3 linked regions of the Rattus norvegicus genome follow. The main gene of each other region encodes a partner of the protein of the gene in region 2 in a complex. Links are inferred from orthologs where the notes say so. Each region holds a gene or a part of one and is shown on either strand. Other genes may lie near its edges.

Region 1 (5,473 bases), about 49 Mb from region 2:
GGAAGTGTGACTTGGCCCTCAGCCCGCTGAATGACCTTCCTGGGACTCAGTTTCCCAGCCTGTGAAAGGGCAGTAGGCTTAGTTCTGGTTTGTTTTTGAACCATGTATCGTGCTCATCAGTAGACTACAGAATTGATTTAATGGGTTATGATAGCTTTTTAGATGTCTGAGCTGAGATGCACACAGGTTGAGCACTGCTTGGGGATCCCCTCTTTGTTACATTTGCCTGTAACATGCCTGCCAGTGTTGGGTAGCAACCAAAATACTGCCCACTGTTACTCCATGCCATCTCCTAACAGCTGCAGGGCTCTGTGACAGACTGATGCCACCCCTACTTCCCAGGTAAAAGATGAAGTCATTGGTCCTAGGCTCTACTCCTAGTGATGGCCAGGGAAGGACTTGAATTTAGTCATCATTCTGGAATTCAAGAACGTCCCCATATGTTCACATGTGTGTGCTTGCTTGTCAATGAAAGGGGCTGCAATGGAGATTTGGTTTAACTTGAGACACGTGATCAAATGTAGCATCCACTAGCCTAGCCTAGGAGTTTCTGGATTCTCTATAGTTCTAAGCCTAAGGGGGTAAATGAAACTAGTTCATGTCTGAGGTGGGTTTTTAGTACTGGTGAGGCACAATCGACATACATTCAGGCATTGGGGGACTCAGCTTTAGTCCTACAAGTGTGTGGTGTGTGTGTGTGTGTGAGAGAGAGAGAGAGGGAGGGGGAGAGAGAGAGAGAGAGAGAGAGAGAGAGAGAGAGAGAGAGAGAGAGAGAGAGTCTCCCAACTAGTATAGATTCCATGATAGTGTCTTCACTTCCAAGCCTAGAAGTGAACTTGGGCCCCATTCCTGGCCAGCACGTCTGCCCAGGATTCCTCTGTGCACTTGTAGCCCCCACACAGGCAACACTTTTCTCCCTGGGAGCCCAGAGCACTTCTCTGACATGCCCTTATTAATCCTTCATGCCATCCTGCCAGTGACAGATACAGCAGACAGGAAAATGGGATTACCTGGGGCCCTGGTGGGGAGGGGCAGGAGAGCACAGCCTACTGGCGGCTCCTGCTGGCACTGGGTGGGGCTCTGAGCTCCAGGTGACTCCCAAAGCTCATTTTGACAGTCTGTGCCAGCTCTGAGGAAGAAGTAGAGCCAGTGGCCAGAGGCTAGGTTGAGTCTGATTCAGAGGGATCTGGCTTTCTCAGGAGTGAGCTCTGGGCCTCACCCTCACAGGGAGAATTCCCAGAGGCCCTTGCCCCAGGGCTGTGCTTCTTAGAAGGTCCGGAAGGAGCAGGAGGACAGCTGTAGCCTGGGAAGATGCACCCTTGCACCATGCTGTCCCTTCTGAGCAAATAGATGCCTTTTACAGCTGTGGCTTTGAAAGGAAAATGCTGTCTCTGAGCTTCTGACATCTGGAGGCCAGATTCAGACATAAACGGATTACTTTATTATCATGAGAGGGTTTTTCTTTCCTAAATCAACAGCCACAGCCCCCTGGCCTGAAGAGCTGGGGTCTAATTGAATTTGGGTGGGTGGTGGGTGGTTATGATTTGTTTTTGAGAGACTCCCGTTGAAGAACTGAAGTGATCCCTGACCAAGGACAAACTGCTTCCCTCGAGAAATTTCTCCAAGTTCAGAGGTGGTCCCAAAAATATAGCAGGTACACAGTGATGTCTGCTTCCCGAAGGCTGACTGCCTCTCTCCCCCTCCCAGGATACCAAGATCAAATGAGAAAGACATGGAGAGCAAATCCTCCTTACCTGTCCAGTCACAGCCCAGGACCTCCAGCCTCATCCCGATGCCCGCTGGTGACCACCTCTCTGGGTATACCCGCACGTACTGTGCTGGAACTGGCTCGAACCTTCGGATGTCGGGGGTGTCATAGTGCATGTTCCCTTCAAACAGCTGTAGGGAGACAGGTTGTTCAGCCCCCATGTGGGGCTCCTCCCCGAGTACCTCTCCCAACCACACCTAACCCAGAAGTCAGCTTCATGGTTGATTCATGGGGGCACTATCCTCTACAAGCTTTATTTCAAACCAAGGTCTTTGTTCATTTGGAAAGTCCACGAGGGACCTTGGGATATGGAAATCAGGTATCATTAGAATGGCCATTGTCAGGGGAAGTCTGAGCTGCAAATGAGATTTAAGCTGACCTTGTCCAGAAAGGAAAAAAAAAAAAGGAAAATTAAAACCATAATCGGAGATCCAGTAATCTTTTTGAGGTTGATGCACCATCTTTTAAAAGACTCCTATCTTTAAAATAAAAACTAGTAGGCGAGCAAACATCCCAGATTCCTTGTCTTATTTTTTTAGTTTTTAGAAAAGTGTTTTCCTGATGCCTGGAAGTCTGGGTACCTGGATGGGATGGGGTAGAGTTGGCGGGATGCTTGCCCGCACGGATGAATAACTTTCAGGTTATTCAATGCCAAGAAGCATGGGGCCAACAATTCCAAGTATACTGACAGTCAGAAAGAAAAATGGCTGCTCCTTCTTTAGGATAGTAAGGGCGTCCTCTTGGTTACAAACTGATGGCCTGAGATAGTCTTCCAGAGCTTTGTCTATCAGCAGCAATTCCACCTAAAGAAACCTCCCTTGGATTGCCAATGTGTAAAAAGCTGTGTAGGGATCCTATCCAGAGCCACCGTGGGGTCCCTCACACAGGGAGAGGACAGCTGTGATGTTCAGGGATGTCTGAGTGTCAGCCAACTGTAGGTGCTCAGGATAGCTTTCAAAGTAAGGGTGCTGCCTTGGGCAGGGCCAAGATCATTTCTTTCACTAAGAGTCATGGTTAGCTGTCGCTGGGGAAATTTCCAGTTCCTGGGCTTCTCAATGAAGGTTCTGGTTCCCAGACCCTGGGTCTTTTCAAGGCCCTGGGATTGTGATCTGGAAGTTCATATTACTGTAACCAACTTAGCCCTTGCTTATGCATTCAGAAAGCAAAACCTTGGTTATCACAGGGAGGAGTCCTTTCTTGTTGAGAACCCTGCTTGTCTGCAGTTGAAAGTAACGTAGAAATGAGGACCAGCTAGCCTGGCCTACCAGGAGATGAATCTGGAGAGGGAAGAGGCATGGGGTCCTTTTCTAGCCGAGCCTCCTTGCATGCTAGGGTGAAGGTCAGCCTTCCTTTCTCCCATGGCTGGGATGGGCTGCTCTGGCCTGAACTTCTGGCCCAGCATAAGATTCTCTTTCTTCTTTCAAACTCAGTGTAAGAGGCAGGCGGGAAAAGATCTGAGCATTCAAGACTAAGAAAATACAACGGAGCGTAATGTTCAGAAAAACAGTTATTCTTGGAAGTAACTCCCAGTGTCTATAGCTTGGCCTCCAACAACCACATCCCCTTGGGATGTCTGGCCCGTTTCAAGGAAACGTTATCCAGAAGGGACTGTGAAGGCTACCAAACTTCATAAGCACTGCATAGGTATCTGGGCTTTGGAATCTGACTTTTGGTTTCTGAATCATGGCTTAAGCACCGATATACAGTGTGACTCTGGAATAACCTAAGCCTCAGTTTTGTCATCTCTGAAATGTGAGTGATCAAAGAGTAGACTTCATAGAGGGTTATGATGAATGAATCTAACTAAATTAGGCAACCAGGCCCTGGGCAACATTGTGTCTTGGTTGGTATGTGTTTTGTTGTGCTGATGGAGTTTGATGGATATCTACTAGATGGGACATCAGTACCCCAGCTCCCTGTACCCCATTGAACCTCTCTGTTTAGAATGGCAGCAGAGTTTTCTGTGAATGGCCTACCTTTGGCTGCTGAGTCCTGGGGTCCTGGATATATTCCCAGTCCTTGCCATTTAGGCTGTAGGAGACTTTGAACTTGCGTACAAATGCCCTGGCTTCCATGGCAGTGATACTGTCTCCTCCTCGGGCCCCCTGGATGATGACGCCTTTCACCGTCTTGGGTGTCCCAAGATCCACCTGAAGCCATTCTTCACCTGGCTGGGCTTGAGGGTTCCGAGGGAACCAGCCAGAGCGGCTGCTAACCAGGCGGGCAGCACTGGGGCTCCAGAGGTACTCTCGGGTGGAGGAGGCAGAGATCTGGGTATCAGCAATGAGGCCCGAGAGCATTCCCAGCATGTTGGAGCAGGGTGCATCTAGGAGAGACAAGGAGAATACTAGAAGTCGTGGCTGAGACCCACTAATTGAAGCCCACCCCCTAGCAGCTATCAGGCCATCAGGTCACGTGCTTATTTATTTTATTTTGTATTTTGAGGCTGTAGAGCGCTGTGATTCAGAGCCTGAACTTGGACTCAGAATGCCTGGTTATATGTTCACCCTCCTGCTTACTTAGCTGTACAGTTTTGGTCAAGTGATTTAATTGTTCCATGCATCGAGCCCCCCAAGTCTAAAGGAGTACTCTTGAGCAGTGCCTACCTGTTGTGAGGACTCACCTCAGCGAAGGCCTTAGAACAGTGCCTGGTACACCTAAGTACACAGTGGCTGTATTTATGGCTCTGATCAGGGCTTCTGAGAATGTGTGTTGGCACATCTATCCACAACACCTGATCCCCACTGACTCTCTCAAGGACAGTGAGCACAGTGGAAGACCATTTTGCCTACAAGATGGGCTTATAGTTTCCTAGGTGCAGGTCCTGGTTCCATCACCTTCTGGATGGATGGTGACCAGGGTTAAGTTATTGCCTATCAGAATCTAATAACTTCACCAGCGTCATCTTTGGTGTAATAAACAGGCAGCATAATGTACAGGAGAGAGTCATGAACGATGCAGAGAAGGCGCAGATGCAGGGTGCTCGAACAAGAAGCCATAAGCAGGGTCATTCCACGGTGTGCTCTTAGACAGAGATGGAGTGAGGCGAGGTAGGCAAGAGGGTGGATGGACATTGAGGACCCTTCCATGTCAGAGAATCAGCTTGCCTTTCTAGGTGGAGTTCAGAGTGGAAGTGACTGACCTGTAAATGTTCACCTATTGCTGGTCTAATCGCCATGGTCTCACAACTATACCATTGTACCGGTCTACCAAAGGCCTCTGATCCTACTCTGATGCTCTCTCCTGTGCAGCCCATGAGTCTTAGCCCATGCGAGTGCCATTGTTCCTTCAGATGCAGTCCTCACACACTGTCTCTCCACTCCTTTGCTACAGTGCCAACAAGCAAGCAGCGATCACCACTGAGTATCTGTTTTCTAATCACTCTTCGGCAGGTACTGTCTGGTTTGTCTGCCCTCTGACCTCGGTAACTCATTGTCACCGAAGAATTTCTTGACCTGCCAGGCTATGTCAAGTCTTCTGTAGAACACTTCAGGGGTCATGAGGCCCATCCTGTTTCCAGATATTCTTCATAGTTTTCTGATTTTCATTTATTTACCATCTTGTTTCCTATTAACTCGTCCATCTAACTCGTCCATACGCCCACACTGGCCTGGGTCTGGCATGTTCCCGTTGTGTCTATAGTGACGTGTCTAGATCTTGGTTTGTACATGAGGTAGCAGAGAGCATTATTTGAAACTCAAGTTA
Region 2 (5,932 bases):
CTGAGAACCACTGCTGTAGAAGGTAGAGATGAGAGTGACTGAAGAGTAGAGCATTGGGAGCCTTACGTGTCCACAGCCTCTGTTATACCGTGATGAGGGACAGGGGCTCCCTGACACGGCGCTACATCTGGTGCTCTTGGGATGTTAAGGACAGGCATTTGGTAGCTTTCCTTTCCAGTGCCTCTTAGCTGCATAGATTATAGATCAGGTGAGGAAACCCATGGGAGGGCTCTGGGCCCGTAAGCATTTACTAACTACTCTCCCTGCTAAAAGAGAGCCATCCGGGAGGTGACTCAGGGCAGCTATGATAGGCCAGATGGGATGGGGTGGCTTTTTTCCTCATAAGATCCTCATAACATTGCTCCATTGAAATTGGGGTTCCCAACAGGTACCAGCATCCCACGGAGCCTCAGTACTGTGTGCAGAGGGATGGAGATGGTGGAGTAACCTTTTCGGGGGACCAGTAGGAAGACTGTTGGCTCCCTTTCTCAGAAGCTCAGCAGACCTGGGTGAGGGCTGGGACTGGTTGGTCCCTCTCTTCCCACAGGTATCAGAGCCCCCTCTTGTTCCCAGGGGAGCCTAGGAGCAGCTGGGCCAAAGCCCAACCAGGAATTTTTCCAGGCTGGTTCCTATATCCAAGGGTGGGCTGGAGGTGGGGGCTTTGGGGAGCTCTTAAGGAAGACACGAGGAGGTGAAGGGGACTTTGTGGAAAGGGAGGGGACAGAGCCACACAGGCTAAGTGTACAAGCATAGAGAAATGGCCAAGGGTCCTAGGTAGAATGGGAGGGGGCAGAGTACAACCCTGAACTCTGTTTAGAAGATGAACTGTGAGCCTAGGCTAGAACTGAGGGAGCCTTACCTCTACTCCCATCCTACCCGGAGTTGGTGGCAGCGCTGGGCAGCTGGCCTAACTACGTTTCTGAATGCTAGGGTAGGTTTGAATCACCACGCAGGCCTGGCCTGCTTCTGCCCCCATTGGCACACTGGCCTTAGTTCCCTGGCAACATCTGGGTGTTTGTGTGTGGGGGGTGTGATCAGGAGGAACAAGGGCTTCTGTCTGCCCAGCTGTCTCTCCCTCAGGGCTCTGCCAGACTCCACAGTGCATACGTGGGCTTCCACAGGTCGTCTCCCTCCGGGCCACTGACTAACTGCTCGGCTTCCCGTTCTCAGTGTCACACATTTGATGCCATATCCTCTCCAGAGAAGCCTCTCTGGAAACTTCCCAGGGAATCCCATTCACCCCAGGGCCCTAGTTCCTTATGTATGAAGATCAGACAAGAGCTCAGATAAGCATACTTGCCTTCCACGTAGCCCCCCGCCCCATATATAATCCTAGAGTTTCTGTTTCCGAGGTCAAACAAGCAACTGTTGGGGGGTGGGTGTTAGAAACACGCAACTATTTGGGAAGTCAAAGCCTGCGGTGCTCAACAGTCAACTCTCACCCCCTGTCCAAGACCCGTGCCATTTGAGCCAGAGTTGGGGTGTGCATAATGTAGTCACTAGGGGGCGCTCGGCCATCACGGGGAGATCGTGAACTTGGGCGAGCCGAGTCTGCGTGAGGAAGGACGCGTGTGTCAATGTGAGTGCGTGCGTGCATGTGCGTGTGTGTCTGGGTATAGTGTGTTTGTGAGGTAGGGGAGAAGACCAGGGGTCACTCCGGGTGTCCGTCTCCCCATACGTCCTTGCCAGCTCTCCGCCTCCCCCCCCCCCCACTTTCTCCTACATTCCTGGGAAAGGAAATTGCCCTCACTCTCCTGTCTCCCCTGATTCCCAACACCCTGGGATTCCCAGTGTGTCCCCGAGCCAAGTTTGAAGGGGTGGACAGATAATTCTCAGGCTATGGACCCTGGTAAGGGGTTTAGATTTCTATTTCGCAGTAGTGGCCTAGGGGCTTCTGAAAGGCGGTGCCTGGTTCGGCCTGGCCTCGCCCCCGGGGCGGGCCTGGGGCGGGGCCTTTGGGGGCGGGGCCAGATTTCCTTTTTTTTCCACCGCTGTTACCGGTGAGAAGCGCAGAGGCTTGGGGCAGCCGAGCTGCAGCGAGGCCGCGGCGCTGGGGGCGAGCTGAGCGGCGGCAGCGGAGCTCTGTCGCGAGACGCAGCGACAAGGCAGACTATTCAACGGACTCATCAGCCAGGGAGTCTGTGCTCTGGGATTTGATATTCAAACCTCTTTTTTTTTTCTTAAACTGTATTGTTTTACGCTTTAATTTATTTTTGCTTCCTATTCCCCTCTTAAATCGTGCCAACGGTTTGGAGAGGTTGCTCCTTCACTCCCTCAAATTACTTCGGATTTTGGAAATCAGCAGAGGAAAGAGGTAGCAGGAGCTCCAGAGAGAAGTCAAGGAAGAGAGAGAGAGAGAGAGACCGGTCAGAGAGCGCGCTGGCGAGCGAACAGAGAGAGGGACAGGGGCAAAGTGACTGACCTGCTTTTGGGGGTGACCGCCAGAGCGCGGCGTGAGCCCTCCCCCTTGGGATCTTTCATCGGACCAGTCGCGCTGACGGACAGACAGACAGACACCGCCCCCAGCCCCAGCGCCCACCTCCTCGCCGGCGGGCAGCCGACGGTGGACGCGGCGGCGAGCCGCGAGCAGGAGCCGAAGCCCGCGCCCGGAGGCGGGGTGGAGGGGGTCGGGGCTCGCGGGATTGCACGGAAACTTTTCGTCCAACTTCTGGGCTCTTCTCTCTCCGGAGTAGCCGTGGTCTGCGCCGCAGGAGGCAAACCGATCGGAGCTGGGAGAAGTGCTAGCTCGGGCCTGGAGAAGCCGGGGCCCGAGAAGAGAGGGGAGAAAGAGAAGGAAGAGGAGAGGGGGCCGCAGTGGGCGCTCGGCTCTCGGGAGCCGGGCTCATGGACGGGTGAGGCGGCGGTGTGCGCAGACAGTGCTCCAGCCGCGCGCGCGCCCCAGGCCCCGGCCCGGGCCTCGGTTCCAGAAGGGAGAGGAGCCCGCCAAGGCGCGCAAGAGAGCGGGCTGCCTCGCAGTCCGAGCCGGAGAGGGAGCGCGAGCCGCGCCGGCCCCGGACGGGCCTCTGAAACCATGAACTTTCTGCTCTCTTGGGTGCACTGGACCCTGGCTTTACTGCTGTACCTCCACCATGCCAAGGTAAGCGGTCGTGCCCGCCTGGTGTCGCCGGGCCATGGCGAGCGCCTCTCCCGCTTGGGGACGTGCGTGCGTGCGAGCGCGCGCGTGGGGGGCTTCGTGCCCCACGCGGGTCCTTGGGCACCGGGCGCGAGGCGTCCCCCTCTGTCGTCGTACGTGGAGGGGGAGGGGGTGCGCGCTAGGTGGGAGGGCGCCAGGATAGTCTCGCCGCCCACGCGGGCCCTGCCCACCCACCAGAGTCACCGCACGTACGATCTGGGCCGAGCAGCGGAGGGCGGGAGCCAGAGGAGGAGGCTGAGGGGGCTGGGCTTGCGCCCGAGCTGGCGGCAGAAGTTTGCTCTGGGTCGCGGGTCCCGGGAGAACTGGAAGTCCGGGCAGAGGGGGCGGGAGTCCGGAGCCCAGCGGGCATGCCTGGGGGTGCTCGGACCTTGGACCGGGGGAGGGCAGAGATCGTGGAGGGGGCAGGGCGCCGGCGACCGAGGGGGCTTTGCTGTCACTGCCATTCGGTCTCTTCGGCCTTTGCAGTGAGTTTGGGGAAAGTTTTAGGATGGATTACTGCGGGGACCCTCTCCCACCCCTCTAGCTTGTTGGGCCACCTGCGCCGCGCCACCCCCTCCCGTCCCCGCTCGCGTCCCGCGCGGTGCCCGCCCTCCCCCGCCTGGCCGGGCGCGCGCGGCGCAGAGCCGATTACATCAGCCCGGGCCTGGCCGGCCTCGTGTTCCCGGAGCCGCGGCTGCTGGAGCCCGGAGACCCGGGCGACAAGCGGCGCCCCTCCCCCACCGGCCCTCCGCGAGGAAGGTGACCTCTGGAGGTATCCCCAGCTCCGGGACCGGGAGAAACTCCCATACCCCTTTCCTCCGTTCCCAACTTCTACCCGTGCCTTGCTCTAGGCAGAATTACCCGACGCCCCTTCCCCCTTTCCCCCATTTCCTGCCTGGTGTGCAGAAAAGCCCTTCCCACCCTTTTATATTTTCCTTTTCCTTGCGAAGACTCATCGGACCCTTCCTGGCCCCAGGGCCCAGGAAAAGGACGGTGACTGTCAGACGTGGGGGTGTTGGGGCCCACCCTCGGGTTCTTTGTGGAAACGCTGACCTAAGTTTTGAGTTGGTGAAGGTGTGCTTCCCTCTCCTCCTAGCAGCTCCAGTTAGCTGTGTTTCACCTTTTTTTTGGGGGGGGGGCGGTCAACGAAGGGTGGACTGACATCACCCTATTTCCCCCGTTTTGGAAACATGACTTGATATTTGCTAAGACAGGGGCAGCCTGGAACCAGCCCTTTCCTACTCCTTTGACAGGATCCCTTGTCAGTATCTCACACACACTTTGTCCTGGCAAAGCCTGATGCCCAGAGAGCAGGTGGTTTAACTCTGAACTTACCCACCCAATTTGCCTACTAAAGGGTCCTTTGATGCTCGTTTCCTCTAATTCTCAGCTATAGAGCCTTCTTGGAAAGGAGGCAGAAGGAAGGAGAAGGGCAGGTGTCCCTGCCACCATCCAGAGGTCCCCAGACCCTGGCACAAAGGCCTTGGTTCTGGGCCTTCATGTGGGGAGGAGGGCAGGAGTGCTTGGCCACAGTGTGACCTTCAGAGGCCCCCAGAGAAGGACACCTGGCCAGTCCCTGCCTAGAACCTCCCCATCTGGGAAGGGGTTCAAAGTTTCTGTTTCCTTTCTCCACTGGGGTCTAGACAGAGGAGGAAGGAGAATGTCATGAGGCTATTGAGGGGGTATTTGAGGGCCTGATGAAGTGCAGAATCCAGGACCAACCTGGGGCAGCTGCAGTGGGAGGCTATGTCTTGAGAAGGGCCACCTCTGACCTTGGCCCTGGTGGCAAGGCTGAGGGCCCTGGATGGATTGCTCTTAGGAAAAAGAGACAGAGACAGACCAAGGGTGGGAGTCTGTCCCTCTGGGGCAGTTGGAGGTCCAGGTTGGTGTGAAGCAGGTGGATGGGGAGTTGTAGCAACAGGAGACCCTCAGGAAGGCCAGGAGCCTTGGCTTGCTTGCCACGTCAGGGCCACAGGGCCTTCTTGGTGACCTTCAGAGGTTCTGGGGAGGGGAGAGAGGAACTGGTGGGGATGAGGAAGGTTGGAGGGCTCAGGGTGGGGCAAAGGACCCCCTGGCAGAACTGAGGAGAAAGCTTCCCTGGGTACATTTAAGCAAAGTGCCCTGCCCAGGTGAGAGGCTCCGGGATGTGGGAGTGGGAGGCTAGCCAGGCTTTGGAAGCTGCAATCGGGACCTGGGCAGACCTGGGACCTGGGGTGGGAGGAGAATGGGACTCTCCCTTCCTTAGGAGCTTCCTCCCAGCTTTTCACCCCTTGAGCAACCTGTGGGTATGCTGACTATTCCCCAGGCCTGGGAAGAGTTCAGATGGGGGAGGGTAGTTGGTGCCCTTCTGTCCTCTGCATCTCTCTTCGACTCGAGCTAACCCTGGTATTTGTCATGTCAGCAGGAGAAGGTCACCACGTTGTTTTTCTCGCCCCCAGTCTTTCCTTCCTGCCCCAGTCCAAATTTGTCCTATTTGACCTTAATGCTTACCCATGGCTTGGGACCAGGGAATCGAGGGCAATGGGAAAAGGGACAGGACAAGAACAGGACGGGGCTGGGGGCCTGGGTCAAGCAGGATTCTGGTATTTTCCTCCTACATTGTGAGCTCCCTCACACCTGGTTAGTCTTTAACTTTCACGGGCTCAGAATTGAAGCCATCCGGAGTAGTGGGTATGCTCTGGGCCCACAGGACCCCTACTGTTCCCCGTGTGACTCAGAAGACTTGGGGAGGGTGGGAGCTGGGGGTTGGGAGAGGAGGCAAAAAGAAATCTAGGGATTCAGTGGTGTCAGGCCTGGGAC
Region 3 (5,473 bases), on a different chromosome or scaffold from region 2:
GAGGGAGTGAGTGTCAGGGCAATCAATACACAGAGTTGGGTAGAGCATGTCACAGGAGCAGAGAATAAGGTATAGCTTCTGGTCCCTGGGCATGGTAGAGAAGGCTGTGTGGAAGATAGAATGCTCAAGACTCATGAGAGAGCTCTAGTGAGGAGACAATGCTGACAACAGCTAGAAGTGAGCTGGAATTTGGCTGCTATAGATGGCATGGGGATTCTCAGAACAGCGGTACATACATGTATCCCAAACTCTACCTTTTCACTTGATTAAAAGTCCAAACCAAAAAGTCATTTACTGTAACTTGGCATTTATGAGAACCATTGCTTTCGTTTTCTTCTAGCAAAACCTTTTATTGCTTTTGGTAGCGGGATGAAATCTTTGGTGGAAGCCACTGTGGGCAGCCAAGTCCGAATCCCTGTGAAGTATCTCAGTTACCCAGCTCCTGATATCAAATGGTAACTACTGGAAATAAAAGCAAAGCATTGATTTGCATGAGATAAAATCCTTCTATCGCACTACCTCCCGGGATTGTCTCCCTTAGGTACAGAAATGGACGACCCATTGAGTCCAATTACACAATGATCGTTGGTGATGAACTCACCATCATGGAAGTGAGTGAAAGAGATGCGGGAAACTACACGGTCATCCTCACCAATCCCATTTCAATGGAGAAACAGAGCCACATGGTCTCTCTGGTTGTGAATGGTGAGTCCATTCGCTGTCTCTTCTGCCCAAAGTTTACTAGGGAAGAGAGAGAGATAGTGCATCTTCACATATCTCCCATCATTTTGTTGTCTTCTGTTATACCATCTGCATCATTAACTGGGCCAATGCATGAGAGAGAGAGAGAGAGAGAGAGAGAGAGAGAGAGAGAGAGAGAGAGAGAGAGAAAGAGAGAGAAGAGATGGAGAGAGGGAGAAGGGAGGGAAGGAGGGAAGGAAGGGAGGGAGAGAGAGAGAAGAGATGGAGAGAGGGAGGGAGGGAGGGAAGGAAGGAGAGAGGGAGGGAGGGAGGGAGAGAGATGACCCAGGGAGGTGGATTTGAAATAAGATGTGGTCTGGCATCCTCTGGATGTGCTGCTTCTTTGATTACTCGTGTGAAGGTTCTGTTGGTGGTCACCTACAAGGTGAGAGGAAATAATACCCCTTAGCCAAATGCCTCTGGGGTCACTCAAAGCTTTGCGAGCTCCTGTTGCTTTTGTCCTCAAAGCTACACATCGAATGAAGATTTGGGAGACCCTCCTTGTGTTTTGTGTGACATTTTAGTCTGAAGATTTAGCTGTTTTGCTGCAGATGCATGGCAGAACTCCACAAAGGAGATTTGTGGAAGCCGGCACCATTGGATAACTTGCTGTCTACAGTCAGAGGACACATTTAGAATCTGTCCAGGAAAGAGCATAAGCTTTTGATTTAAGAGTGATTTAAATTACTTCCCAAACCGAATGTACTAAGTATTTGAGTTTGGGATAGAAAGGTGCCATGGTCAGGTGAGTGGAGCAGGTATCAGGTTGACTTAAAATGTCTTTCTTATAGGACCTCCTTAGAATCCTTATAGGATAATGACTATTGCCTTCTCTGGTAGGAGTGACAAGAGTATCAAGGATTTAACTAGATGATTTGACTAGAGCACTTTTCCTTTCCCAGTAAATAGATTAATGTTTTGCTCCAAACACAGTCGGAGGAATGCTTCTGGTGTAATTCTTCGTGCTTCTTACTAGCACCACACATTAAAATGTCAAGAGATTGTCTCAGAGCAGGAGCATGCTGCCCACACATCTCCATCCTCTGTGTGTCTTCTGAGCATGGCTTCATTTCTTTTTTTCCTTAGGGAGTATTTTTTAAAGATAACAGGTTCTGGGAAGGTTGCTTCGAAGCTGCATGGACAAAGGGGATTCAAGAGGGGGGAGGAAGGCAGAAGCTGATTAAGTATGATGAAAAGAAAAAAACCAGGCAGCAAAGACAGAAAGGCAGACAGGGAGCAACCCCATTGCTCACTTCTCCAGGTCACCACCTTCAGAGTACCCTAGCACATACTGTGCGCAATACATACAAAAGTCAAGTTGAGCTTCTATTCTAAAGCCTTGGTCCAGGATCAGTATTAACTGATGCCTTTGGGCAAATTTTTTAATATTTGCCCCATTTCTTTTCATGTGTAAAGTGAGAGCCATATCCATGATTATGAGGGCTGAAAGTCAATGTGAAGCACCTCAACAAGGCTTGGTGCACAATAAATGTCTTTGCTGAGTTATTCCAACTGCTTTCTCTCTGTAGCCTCTCACCCCATTCTTGCTAGACTAGAGGATGTGGAGAACAATATCTTTCATGTAAGAGTAAGAGAGTGTGGCATGGGAGTGCATAGCTGAAGTCACTCAGCTTATCAGGTTTTAGTGTTATGAGAGAATAAGAATTCAGGTCTTCTGTCTCCAAGTCTAGATGTCCTTTGGGAAAACAAGCAGAGGTCAAATCATATGAGTACACAAGGCAGATCTGGTTGCTGAAATCCCCTCTTTGTTCTCAAAGCAATTGGGAAGTTCACAGGTCGCCTTTTCTATCTCCAGTTCCACCCCAGATCGGTGAGAAAGCCTTGATCTCTCCTATGGATTCCTACCAGTATGGCACCATGCAGACGCTGACATGCACAGTCTATGCCAACCCTCCCCTGCACCACATCCAATGGTACTGGCAGCTAGAAGAAGCATGCTCCTACAGGCCCAGGTGAGTGGGACCATGTGCTCTGTTCACTTGCTATCATGCATCCCTTCCTGCCAAGCTATGCCACGGTTCCACCTAAATCTGCAAGGCTATGTCCAAGGAAGTTACTTTCAATGGTACTTAGACTCACCTCCCACATCCCACTATGTGAGTCAGCTCTTTCTCCTTAGTTATCCCTGATGGATACCTCTCCAAACGGATACCATTTGCTGCGTTTGCTAGTTGCCAATCTTTGGATCTTCTTCTGTCTGTGGACTGGAGAGGACCACCCTGCTCCTCCTTATCTCTGGGAAGGTTCAACTCTCAGAGGAAGTGCTGGTGGATGGGAGGCAATGATAAACGTAGCCCAGGCCTCAAGAGTCTCGGGCCCAGCTTATCAAGGTCTACCACAAGTGCAGACATCCTTAGGGAAAACAACAGCCACCACCTTCAACCTACCACCCCAAGCATTCCACTTCCTGTTGTTGTTTTTGAAATAGCAAACCCTAGTTTCTTCCTCAGCTGCTGACCATTTCCTAAACAAAAGTCACCAGTCATTCCCAGAGAGATGACTTTAAGAAGCCCCAATGGCTTCCAAGTTTCCTTACCTTCCTTTGAACTAAGTGAGCTTGAATTGTCTTGTCGATGCAATTTATGAATGGAGACTTGTTCCCAGAATAGCTGCTTCCCTTCTGTATTCTCGGGCAGCTACCTTGGACCTTTGCACTGTTGTTGGCATCTATTTTTAATTGGCGCCAAGTTCTGCGAAGTGTTAGCCTGTGTTGAGAGTTATCACTAAGAACGTGATAACCATAGGCTGACCTTTTCTGGTGCTACTGAACAAAAGAGAAGTCAAATCATGACATGCTGTGCTTTCTCCCTCTTACAGCCAAACAAACCCATATACTTGTAAAGAATGGAGACACGTGAAGGATTTCCAGGGGGGAAATAAGATCGAAGTCACCAAAAACCAATATGCCCTAATTGAAGGAAAAAACAAAGTGAGCTTGAACTTTGATTTTGAATCTCTCTTTTTCTAATTCTTGAATCTGAGTAGAAGGTGGTACAATAACATGCAAAGGTATATTGGAGGTTAATAATCAAATAGTCTGTATTATGTCATCCATAACAGCCTAGGTATAGAGTCAACCTAGGTAGATAAAGAAAGCATGAGTTTTACACACATACGCACACACACACACACACACACACACTCCTTCAATCTTAAATAGCAACAAATTTATGCCATTTGCAGAAAGTTGAGATCATCACATTAAGCGAAATAAGTTAGACTTAGAAATACAAATATGATTTTCTTTTATATGAGTCAGGATAAAAAAAGATATGAAGGTAGAGAAGACAGACTGATTGGGAGTGAATATAATCTAAGTATATTATATACATGTATAAAATGTCATAATAAATCTTGCTGTTTTGTACAATTAATATCTACTAATTTAAAAGGAGAAGGGAAAAACCCGTAGTACCCATAGCTTACTAGCAGTTTATGGAAGAGAAACAAAGCACATAATGCCACTCAGTGTAAGCACCTGTTGAAAAGTAATTCTGATTCTATACACATAAAAAATGAAAAGTGTGAATTATGTCCATGAGAGTGCATCCTTGAGGATTTCTGAGGCACTTTTGTATCCCGTGTATTACTGCCTGGTTAGAGCTGCTTACCTTTGAGGGTGGGCAGTGTGTACCATGAATGGCAAGGGCAGTCCTTAGCAGCTGTGGAGGGCTGATGGATAGACTGTCTCAGTGTGTATGTGTGTGTATATGTTCAGCCTGTATTGTTCATGACTTTGGTCTTGTATGTTCACAGACTGTAAGTACTCTGGTCATCCAGGCTGCCAACGTGTCCGCATTATACAAATGTGAAGCCATCAACAAAGCAGGACGAGGAGAGAGGGTCATCTCCTTCCATGTGATCAGTGAGTAGACCTCTTTGGAGAGTGGGGTGGGGGGAACCCTCAGGAAGTGGGTGCTAATAAGCTGTGAGGTTGTCTGTTGTCTTTGGGATTTGTGTGAGAGGTGGGCTGTGTAGATAGGACTCAAGGTAACAAGCTAGAGCTGCTCACATAGCCCCTGGGCTTGTGAGAGAGTTAATGTGCCATCCCTGGCCAGAGATGGTTTCCACTTGTGCTTTAAGCCTCAAGATCCATGTTGTGTGTAACTTGTCTTGCTCACCAGTTAGTGGGATTCTTGACTTCCTAGGGTTTATGAAGTTATCTGTGGGTCTGTGATAGAACAGCACCGGGTCTGGGGCTTCTGGGAGTATGGGAATGATGTGAAATCACTGGCCCTCTGCCTTCCAACACTCTGGAGTTTGTTCCTGCAGCCTAGTTTTACGGGTAAACTTGAGGTGATTGTACTGGTTCAGACATTTTGGCCTGAGCTAATTACTTGTAATAAATGTGGTTTTCATGTCATGTATTAATAAGAAGACATTGTTAAAGATTCCGTGTGATGATTAAATGCCCTACTTTGGACTTTTTGCTTTGCTTTGTTTCAACTTGGAAACCATATCCAGAACTCAAAGTAGAATGCAGTAAATACTTGGCGAAAATTAATTTCACATTTTCAAATAATACGGTTTGTGGAATGAATTGTCTAGTCTGGCTCTGTCTTTGCAGTAATGGCTGGGGACTGTAAGAGCAGTCTCAGTTCGTCACAGCAGGAAGAAGACAATGGTGTCATGTCCCAAACTAAATCACAATCTTCTAACTATGGCTTTAAATTCCAGGGGGTCCTGAAATTACTGTCCAGCCTGCTACCCA

Evidence for each region.
Region 1: the proteins of Vegfa (region 2) and Nrp2 are in contact, whole or in part, in a crystal structure (PDB 5DN2), measured with the Homo sapiens proteins. The link is inferred for Rattus norvegicus from reciprocal best matches to the Homo sapiens genes VEGFA and NRP2. Residues at the interface, in NP_003367.4 of Homo sapiens: Lys392, Pro393, Arg394, Arg395; in NP_957718.1 of Homo sapiens: Tyr299, Ser300, Asp301, Trp304, Thr319, Asp323, Ser349, Glu351, Thr352, Asn354, Tyr356, Gly417, Ile418.
Region 3: the proteins of Vegfa (region 2) and Kdr are in contact, whole or in part, in a crystal structure (PDB 3V2A), measured with the Homo sapiens proteins. The link is inferred for Rattus norvegicus from reciprocal best matches to the Homo sapiens genes VEGFA and KDR. Residues at the interface, in NP_003367.4 of Homo sapiens: Pro246, Asp247, Ile249, Glu250, Ile252, Lys254, Met287, Ile289, Pro291, His292, Gln295, Ile297; in NP_002244.1 of Homo sapiens: His133, Val135, Tyr137, Ile215, Val216, Val217, Val218, Val219, Gly220, Tyr221, Asn253, Gly255, Ile256, Asp257, Phe258, Val273, Asn274, Arg275, Asp276, Phe288, Ser311, Gly312, Leu313.

What each region holds. Positions count from the first base shown.
Region 1 is NC_086027.1:71,675,284-71,680,756, reverse strand, and holds part of Nrp2 (neuropilin-2 precursor), read right to left. Parts: intron 4,095-5,473; coding exon 3,745-4,094; intron 1,900-3,744; coding exon 1,755-1,899; intron 1-1,754.
Region 2 is NC_086027.1:22,450,837-22,456,768, forward strand, and holds the start of Vegfa (vascular endothelial growth factor A), read left to right. Parts: upstream 1-2,017; 5' UTR 2,018-2,494; coding exon 2,495-3,097; intron 3,098-5,932.
Region 3 is NC_086032.1:32,584,593-32,590,065, forward strand, and holds part of Kdr (vascular endothelial growth factor receptor 2 precursor), read left to right. Parts: intron 1-340; coding exon 341-455; intron 456-541; coding exon 542-705; intron 706-2,557; coding exon 2,558-2,714; intron 2,715-3,579; coding exon 3,580-3,691; intron 3,692-4,518; coding exon 4,519-4,627; intron 4,628-5,439; coding exon 5,440-5,473. UniProt on the Homo sapiens protein: Tyrosine-protein kinase that acts as a cell-surface receptor for VEGFA, VEGFC and VEGFD. Plays an essential role in the regulation of angiogenesis, vascular development, vascular permeability, and embryonic hematopoiesis.